Linked DNA regions of Ovis aries. The protein of the gene in region 1 interacts with the protein of each later gene in a biochemical or structural test. Links are inferred from orthologs where the notes say so. Each region holds a gene or a part of one and is shown on either strand. Other genes may lie near its edges.

Region 1 (4,444 bases):
TTTCTGTCTGAAAGGATGTCTAAGAAAGTCATTTAGCTTCTCTGGGCATCAGTTTCCTTAAGTGCAAAACGTAGATAATTAACCTATCTAGTGGGGTTATTTTGAGGATTAGCAATAATGTAGGTAAATTACCTGACAAGCTATTGTTTTCACATATTGGCAACAATAAACTGTTTAAAAGCTTTGTTAAATATGTTCATGCTTTACTCATTTCTATATTCAGGAGTCTCAATTTACCAAGAGTTTTATTTCAGTTTTTTTTTAATGGAGCTGTCAGTGTATTAACAGTGTAACTTGGGTCTCGAGATAGCTTAAGGAACAATTCTTAAAAATTTTAGTTCTGTTCTGTTCTACGTACATTTATATTGGTACCACACACACACACACTAACACCATTTATAGCCGTCTTGAATAGGAAGTATTCTTTTTGAATGTTTTCCTCAAGAATAAAAGGGAAGGGAAGACTCAAAGAGATGTCAAACAAATCTCAGAATTCAACGTCAATCTGCAGGTACAGGAAGTTTCTGAGCTTTTAAAATCCACTCGCTTGAGGGAGTAATTAGCCAGCACTTAGGGCGGGGTATACAGCCTCGCGATTCCAGTGCTTTCTGGGGAGAGAAAAAAAAACGCTGGGTGGCGAGCACTGAACACAGTCTCCCCCGCCGAGCTCTACAGCCACGTGGCGCTCGCCGGAGCCCCAGGCCCACCGCCCTATCGGGCTGTCGGCGGGGCCTTCGGCCCCGGAAAGCCTGGAACCTCCGGGCCGCAGCCAGCAGACCCAGAGATCTGGCCCCGAACCCGAGCAGGGCAGAGCGCCCAGGTGACGCGCGGTGCCAGCTTCCACCCTAGGGGCGTCCAGCAGATCCCCGGAACTTTTCCTCGGAGACAGGTTCCGGCAACAGGTCCGAGGCGGGGTCGGTGAATCAGCGCGGCTCGGTGCCCGGGTCAGCCCTGCAATCCAATGCCAGTTTGGGGTAGGAATAGCCCGGCGTCTAACCACTAGCCATTCAGGGATCGCTAGCCAGGGGAAAGATGACGTCATCGTAGCTGGGCGGTGTCGGAAGGTCCCACCAATGGGAGACAGGCAAAGTGGCTTGCTTTCTGTATCTCTTGGCCAATACTAACAAAGCAAAAGGGGGCCCGGTTGTTGGTATAGAACCAATGGAAAACAGAGAAGGAGCATGAGGCGGAGTTGAGAATCCTGTCACCAATTGGAAAGAGGAGGTGGAGCCCGGGCCTTGTCAAGCGTGACCAACCAGGGAGAGGAGCGGACTCTGAGGGGCGGGGCCGTAGTGCCTTCCCCCAATCGGACAGGTCCGGGGGCGGGGAATTCTTTGGGGCGCCCAATGAGGAACGCAGCCGAAGTGGGCCTGTCAAGAGAAAGGCCTGGGGGCGGGGGGACGGTGAGTCGGGGATAAACACTCCGCGGCGGTGGCGGCTGCTGCTCTTCTGTAGGTTCTGTCACGGTGTCGGTGGTGCCCAGCTCGCCGGTCCCCTCCCCCTTCCAGCGAGCGTGGTCGCCAGAGAGGCTCTCTCAGCCCTGCTCTGCGGGGTCCATAGCGGGGCGCGGGTGTCCGGCGGCGGCGGCGGCGAGCCCGTGTCCAGTGGGGGTTGGTCCCGTGGCTCCGGCCCCCGGTGCAGAATGGCGGCGGCGGTTCGGATGAACATCCAGATGCTGCTGGAGGCGGCCGACTACCTGGAGCGACGGGAGAGAGGTGCACGGGGACGGGAGGGGGCCGGCCCGAGCTAGTCCCGGGAGCTCTGAGGGGCCTGGCAGCGGATCCCGGCGCCCAGCCTCTCCGGGGGTGGTTGGAGGAGCTGAGAGCGCGACCCGCGAGCGCTCCCAACCCCTCCAGCTTTCCCCACGCGCGGTCCGAAGGGAGGCCGTCGCTGCCCCCAAAGTCAATGAATGGGAGTGGAAAGGGACCACTGCCCCCGGGATCCTGAGTGCTTCCCCCTCCGCACCCCGTCGCGAATGGGGTGCCCGGGGCCCCCTCAGCCAAGCGCTTGGTTTACCTCACCCGGCTCTTCCCGGCCCGCCCCCAAGTGGGCCTGGCGCCGGGTCTCCCAGTCGGCGGAGCAGCGCCTCCCTTGCCCCGCATCCTCCGACCTCGGCTCTGGCTCCCGGTGTCTGGCCCCGCACCTTCGTCTGAGGCCGGTCCCACTTAATATACACCAACCTGCTGGACGTTGCCAATGGGAAACCCAGGCTCCTTGAGACTTGCTGTGTCTTTCTCAACAATGAGCAGCTGGAATGCTCCTTACACCTGCTCCGAACTGAGGGTATTCACTCAATTGAGAAAACAATCATTGTTCTAAGAATTCCACCTTGCTCCTTTTAATTATTTCCACAGTCTTCTTTTAATAAAAAATAAATCCATTTTTAAAAGGAAATACTGTGAAGGGGAGAGAGTGTTGACTGTTCTGTGTTCATTCATTAACTGGATCCTCCGGTTTTCTAGAAGCTGAACATGGTTATGCCTCCATGTTACCATACAATAACAAGGACAGAGATGCCTTAAAACGGAGGAGCAAATCCAAGAAGAATAACAGCAGTAGCAGGTAATTTGGTAAATATTTTCCTTTCTCTTTTAGGTTATGCCGCAGATGATACTGGGTTTTAACCCCGTAAATGAAGCGGCAATCGTGATTCAGTAATGTATACATAGTCCTAAGGCTTTGGAAGAAACCCTTCTATTTGGGTTGAGGGGACTGAGAAGAGAAGAGAAATGGAAGTGTTTTCTATTTCTTTATGAACTTTTTTCCCCAGAACTTAATTTTGCTTTTCTTCCCTTTTGAAACAAAAAATCTGTGGAAACTTCAAGTGAGATTAGCAGCAGTGACAATATTTTGCCTTCAGAAGTTGCAGATTCAGGGCAAGTTTTCTATAGCTGAAAATACTGGACATTACCCACGTTTTGCTTATCATAGTGAAGATTTTATAAATATGTTAAAGTCTTGATTTGGCATAGATGGTAGGCTTTCATATTTGACATGTAAATTAAATACAGTGATATGTCTGATAATCTGTCACTATAATGGCAGCGAGGAACGATTGAGGTTCAAACCTGCTTTTTGGTGATGGAGGAATAGATTGATATTAAAATATTCACATGCCACAAGCTTTTTACGTTAATCTTGTAATTCTTAAAGTTTTGTAAGTCTCACTGGAAAGTATTTGGTTAATGATCAATGAAATCACATAATAAAACCCTGAATGTACTTCCTGGTATAAATGAGTACTCCATTAATGCTGTTGCACCCCCTTTTTCCCCTGTTTGCCCTTAATATATACATTAGCTAGGAAATCTTTTTATTAGACTCATTCAATTATACCTTTTATTCCAGTGATTGAAAATCATTGACATTTTCCTTACTGATTTAGAATCCTTGTCTATCTCCCATTCTCATGAATACTCTGCAAATAACTATTTGGTTAGTGTCTGTGACATTATACAGACTACTAAAAGCCAGAAGTTTCCCACTTAAACCTTCAACTCCCTTGTTCTTCCTTCCTCTTCTATCCTTGGTTCACCCCATTGTCCTTAGCATTGGAAGAACCACAGGATATGAGTGAGCAGCACATATGTGCCGAGCTCTTGAATGGGAAGGCACAGGAAGGATGAACCTGTTAATTAGTTACCTGGTGGTTTTTCCTTTCCCTCCCACCTTTGGCATTATCCAAAGAAGGTTAATGCTGACTTGTAGTGTGCAGTGTTATAAAACAATATCTACGTTGCTTTTTGTTACAGTATTTTTTAAATAACTTTTTGAAAAGACATTGAAGCCTTTTGCTTTATTTTTATGGAAAAGTGTAGTTTATTTTTCACTTTTACTCTTGTCCACTCATGATTTGAGAGGAATTGTTCACATTAATAGTCAAGGCTTAATCCTTAGTACTTTGTTTTCTCCTAAGTTTCACAGAAAAGTTGTTGAGGGGATGTTCAGTGGTGAGAATAAGAAGGGGATGTTGTCGAAGAGAAGTAGCTTGGCCCCAAAAGGTGATTGCCATGCTCTGCCATGCTAAGTCACTTCAGTCGTGTCTGACTCTATGCGACCCTATGGACTGTAGCCGGCCAGGCTCCTCAGTCCATGGGATTCTTCAGGCAAGAATACTGGAGTAGATTGCCATTCCCTTCTCCAAAAGGTGATTAGGAAAGAAAAATAATGATAGTTGAGAATTTCAATTCAAGAAATAGATTCTTTCTCTTTTCTTTAATATCCAGCTTTATTCCTGGGAAAATGATTGTAACTCTGGGGGAAAGCTCTATTATTTCTGTAAATGGATTTTGTTTGCTTTCCATGGTTAGAAGCGGGAGACTCTCACAGTTTTCCATATTCTTGACTAATGATGAATTCGTGCAGTAATTTAAGTGGTGCAGGGATCTCTGAGAGACCATGGTTAAACCTGGAGATTGCACCAAGCAAAACAGATGAAGCAACA
Region 2 (4,505 bases), on another chromosome or scaffold:
GCTCTTCTTCTATTTTTTCCTTCTGTGGGACTTAATATACACTTTTTTTTTACAGTCCTCTAGATACGCTTTTATTTCCAAGGCAGTAATGTAACCATCCTATTTTAATTTCCAGTTGTCTCCACTGATGACATTAGACCATAAAGAATTTTTACTTAATCTTTCTTTCCACACTGCAGTAGAAATAATCCTAACATACAATGAAGACAGCTTTATTACGAAATCTATTTCCAAACTGCTTTCGACAATTTAAACATTCTAAGGTTTTTAAATTAAGGATTTATTGTAAAGGTACACTGTTAAAATTACAGCAGGGCAGTCTCACTTTTGCTTCCACAACTGTGAGCGTCATAAAGACAGGGTCCGTTCCAGTGTTACACATTATGTCAGTTCCATGCTGGCACATGTTGGATGTCCAATAAATATTAGTGAAATAGATACGATCACACCTCATGCCACAATATTTAAATAAGAGTTTAACTAGATAGGGAGCTGCATCAGTTTCCCATTTCGGTATTTTTTGCAGTTCTTAATTATAGTACTCTGAACTGGGGCACTCCTTAAACTTCTTACTCTACAACAAATTTAGAAGGCGCTTTTATTGCCATGTAAAGAGCCTGAAAGGATGACCCTTAAGTAAGGAGCAAGATGGTCAGTCCCGGATGAATGGACACTAGATTCTCGTGACTGGGAGAGGTTTCTCAGCGAGGCCGGTGGTCGGTCATTTTGCCAGGTCTGTGACATCATTCAACACCTGCCATTGACACCTCCCCAATGCCAGATCCCCAGGGTCTGCGTGGGCAATCGGAGCCGCGCCCCCTAATTCGCTGCTGTAGCATCCCCCAGCAGGAGGGTCACGCCCCAGGGCGCAACGCAGAGCGACTCAGTCATCCAAAGACAGAGTAAAACCAGTCGCACCAAGGAGAGGCAGCGTTATTTAGGCAGCTGGCTACTCCTCCAGAGCCTCCACCCTGTCCCCTGGGCCCGGCGCCCGGCGCTCAGCCTGTGCCCGGCTCCAGGAGCCCCAGCTCCCTCCACGTGTCCTGTCTTCCCAGCAGCCACCTCTGCCGCCTCGGGAGGAAAATCTCCTGACAACTCGCGGTCTACGGACTACGACTCCCAGCAAGCACCGCGCAGCTTCTCTCTCCGCCCCCTCCACGGGGCACGCAGGCGCTCTGGGCTCCGTCAACAAGCCGGGCTGGCGAAGACTGGATGCAGTTCCTTATGGGATTTGTAGTTTTTGTTTACTTAGTTGGGCCGTAAGTCAAAGGGACAAGAACTACAAGTCTCGGCGGCCCCAGCGTGACGAGCCCTGTCACGTGGCAGGGGGCCGACCGGGCGTGCGTGCCGCCGTTGATCCGGTGCTGCAGTGAGGAGGTGGTTCTCGCCCGTGTTGTGTGTGTGTGTGTGTGTGCGTGTGTGTGTGTGTGTGTGAGTGAGAGAGCGAGTGAGTGAGTGAGTGAGTGAGTGTGTGTGGGGGGGGACTCGGCTTGTTGTTGTCGGTGACTTCCCCCTCCCCTCCACCCCTCCCCCTTCCCCGCCGCCGCTGCAGTGGCCGCTCCCTGGGCCGTAGGAAATGAGCGATAACGATGACATCGAGGTGGAGAGCGACGTGAGTCCTGGGGCTTCTTCCTTCCCTTGCGGGTTGTCAGGCTGGGACAGCGGCCGGGGTTCTCAGCAGGGCGACGGCGGCAGGGGGCCGGGCAGCCGCCGCCTCCTTCCCCTTCCCCCGCTGGGCCGGGACCCGTCGCGCTCCCGGCTCGCTCGCTCCGGGCTCTTGGCCGGAGCGGCCTTCTGGGACTGGAGGTGGGGAGGAGACACGCGGCCTCTGGGACCCCAACCTCCCCCGGTGGAGGAAGGTGCTGCGGCCTCCCGTTCCCATCCTATCCCGTTCAGGATCCGGGGGACGGGGACGGGGTGCGCCGGGGATCCCATTGTCCGGATCATGGGGAAGGGGGACTGCGCTTAGGACCATGCCCCGTCCGCGCGCGACCCCGTGCTCCCGTGACCTGCGGATCCTGGGGAATGAAGGAGGGCGGAGAGGGATTGGGAGTGCCCACATGCCATGAGCTGGGTGCGAGGAGAGGAGACAGTGCTCTGGATCCCCTTCTGTCCCGGGTCGGATCCCGGAAGGTGGGGCGGCGCTCGAGACCCCTCTGCCCCGCTACCCGATCCCGCTAGGGGGGATGGGGGCGTAGGATGGGGAAGGGGGGTAGGGCTGACTCCCCACCCGCCGCTTCCTCTGACGCCGGCATTTTCTTTCTTATTATTGAATGTGAAGTGTAAAAATAACTTCTATATTTTCTATTTTTTTTTTCTCTCTTATTCCAGGAAGAGCAACCGAGGTTTCAATCTGCGGTACGTCTCCTACTCTCCATTTCATTTTCATTTCCGTTCAATTCTAGTCCTTTTTGGGGTCGGAGAGAAAAAGAGATTGTTCTGTTACTTGTAATGTTGTAGTAAACTCACCTGTTAACCGCTAAGGTGAGGTGGGGCCTTGCTCTGGGGTTCTAGGTGGTGGTGGGGGCGGAGGGTGGTTTGCGAATCTCATAATTCTGGAGTCTCAGGTGATAAGTTTCCGTGAATGTAGGTGAGTGAGAGAAGTTGTATGCAAGGAAATGAATCCTTCCGTAGTTTTCAGATGGGGGTTCTAGTTGTCACTATATAAGTGGGAAATGAGAAGTGCATCATGCTGAAGTAAGCTGTAGTGTTACTTCAGGGAAAAGTGGTCAGTTTTACTTAGGAAGAAGTAGGTTCTAAACCATGGTTGTGTGAAGCTGAAGCCACATGCAGTAATCACCTTTAACCAAAAGTCATGTGACTGCTGTAGACCTATAGAATCTCTCACAACCTGGTGTTATTCTAATGCAGACATTGGGAATGTAGAGGAGCCAAAGGTTGACTCTGAACGTGTCACATTCAGCAGCTTATTGTGATCTGACTATATTTTAGTTGAAGGAGCAGTATAAAGGCAATAAAATAATTGTTGAAGAAAAGTGGCATTGCAGAGAGAGGTTTGCTAAGAGGTGATGGTTGAGACTATACAGTGTTGTTAGTAATTTCTCAAAGTTTTGTTATAAATCTTCTCAGTAGATGATTCTGTGGATTTAAGATAGACACTAATCTCATGTCCTTGAGACAGTACTATGGGTGTTCCATGAATAGAAGGTAAAAAGAATAGATACAAGATAAATCATAATCAGGGAGGAAGAGAAATAAGTAAATCATGCTGTCTAACAGTTGATAGATGGGAGCAGTAGGGAGTGGATAGAATGGAGCCCCAAAATTGAGATGCTTCCAGAGGATCCAGGCAGTGAATAGTCAGGAATGAAGTGGAGAGCAGAGGTGGGAACCGCAGTACTTAAGAACACATGCGTCTTCTGAAAAGGCAGCCACTGTAGTCCAGTGGGTTGTTACGTGAGAATCAGGCGAAGTGTTGTCTTATCTTCCTATTTTGGAAGATTAAAAATCCAGACTTTTATGTTATTTTTCTGATTTTTAAAATGATGTTTGAGACAATCAAGTTGTTTAGGGGCTTGTTAGAATTTCAAGGATGCCACTTAGAGACCTCTGGTCTAAGAATTTATCACAGAGTGAAAGCAAGCCCTCTTGTACCTGCTCAATTCTGAGGTTGTCAAAGCAGTTAGGTATTGAGAAAAAGTGTACTTGTTGAGAGCTGATATTTCTGTAAAAATCCAACAATGCAGTTGTTCCAAATAGTAAAAAAGAATTTATTTTTCCTTGGAGTATTTGAAGACAATACTTTGAATATTTGCAGTATTGTTAGATACTTAATATCTCTTACATACATTTGAAAATTAAATTCCTTTTATTCAGTTACTATTATCCTTAATAATATAAACATGGAATTTCATGTTTGAAATCTGGTCTGTTTTCCTTCAAGTCTCCAGTTATAAAATCTGCCCTAGGGCTTGATCAGAATTGAAGAATAGGGGTTGTTTAGGCTTCCTTTGAAGAATTATTATTTAAATTGAAATTATATCGGCTTTCCACTGTGAGAAAATTTTTATTTATGGAATTTTGGCGTATAGTTCCTGAGAGCTTTCTGCTTTTCAAAATATCCATGCACGTGGTTGTTGATGTAAATTGTTTTATTAAATTATTAAAATGTTTCCACTCTCCTAGGGTGCTGATCTCATTGTTTTGTCTAGATATTTTAAGTTTGATGTTAAGGTACTTAGGATTTTCCTTTTGATTTTGGAGGGTGGGCAGAGGGAGTGGGTTTGACCCTTTGTTTTTAATTTGACACATCTACTTGCTGAGATGTTTAAATGTTATCTGTTGTAAGATAATCACACTGGTGTAGAGAGGAGAAGCAGTAGGCAAATTTTATAGCATATCAAGCAATTATTGTGAATACATAGGGTTAAAAGGATTTTATTTTTTTCTGGGTGTGACTATATCTGTCTATCTCCTGACATTTAGTATAGATAAATATATATTTTTTTAATTTGGGGGGAAACTGTTAAGCTTTGCCTTAGTTC

The links.
Region 2: the proteins of MXD1 (region 1) and MAX form a complex in vitro, tested with the Homo sapiens proteins (4 studies listed by BioGRID, with this or other methods). The link is inferred for Ovis aries from reciprocal best matches to the Homo sapiens genes MXD1 and MAX.

Annotation. Positions count from the first base shown.
Region 1 is NC_056056.1:38,459,992-38,464,435, reverse strand, and holds the start of MXD1 (max dimerization protein 1), read left to right. Parts: upstream 1-1,405; 5' UTR 1,406-1,642; coding exon 1,643-1,715; exon of another isoform or gene 1,716-2,283; intron 2,284-2,462; coding exon 2,463-2,562; intron 2,563-4,444. UniProt on the Homo sapiens protein: Component of a transcriptional repressor complex together with MAX. In complex with MAX binds to the core DNA sequence 5'-CAC[GA]TG-3'. Antagonizes MYC transcriptional activity by competing with MYC for MAX binding.
Region 2 is NC_056060.1:75,293,523-75,298,027, reverse strand, and holds the start of MAX (protein max), read left to right. Parts: upstream 1-1,346; 5' UTR 1,347-1,576; coding exon 1,577-1,612; intron 1,613-2,331; coding exon 2,332-2,358; intron 2,359-4,505. UniProt on the Homo sapiens protein: Transcription regulator. Forms a sequence-specific DNA-binding protein complex with MYC or MAD which recognizes the core sequence 5'-CAC[GA]TG-3'. The MYC:MAX complex is a transcriptional activator, whereas the MAD:MAX complex is a repressor.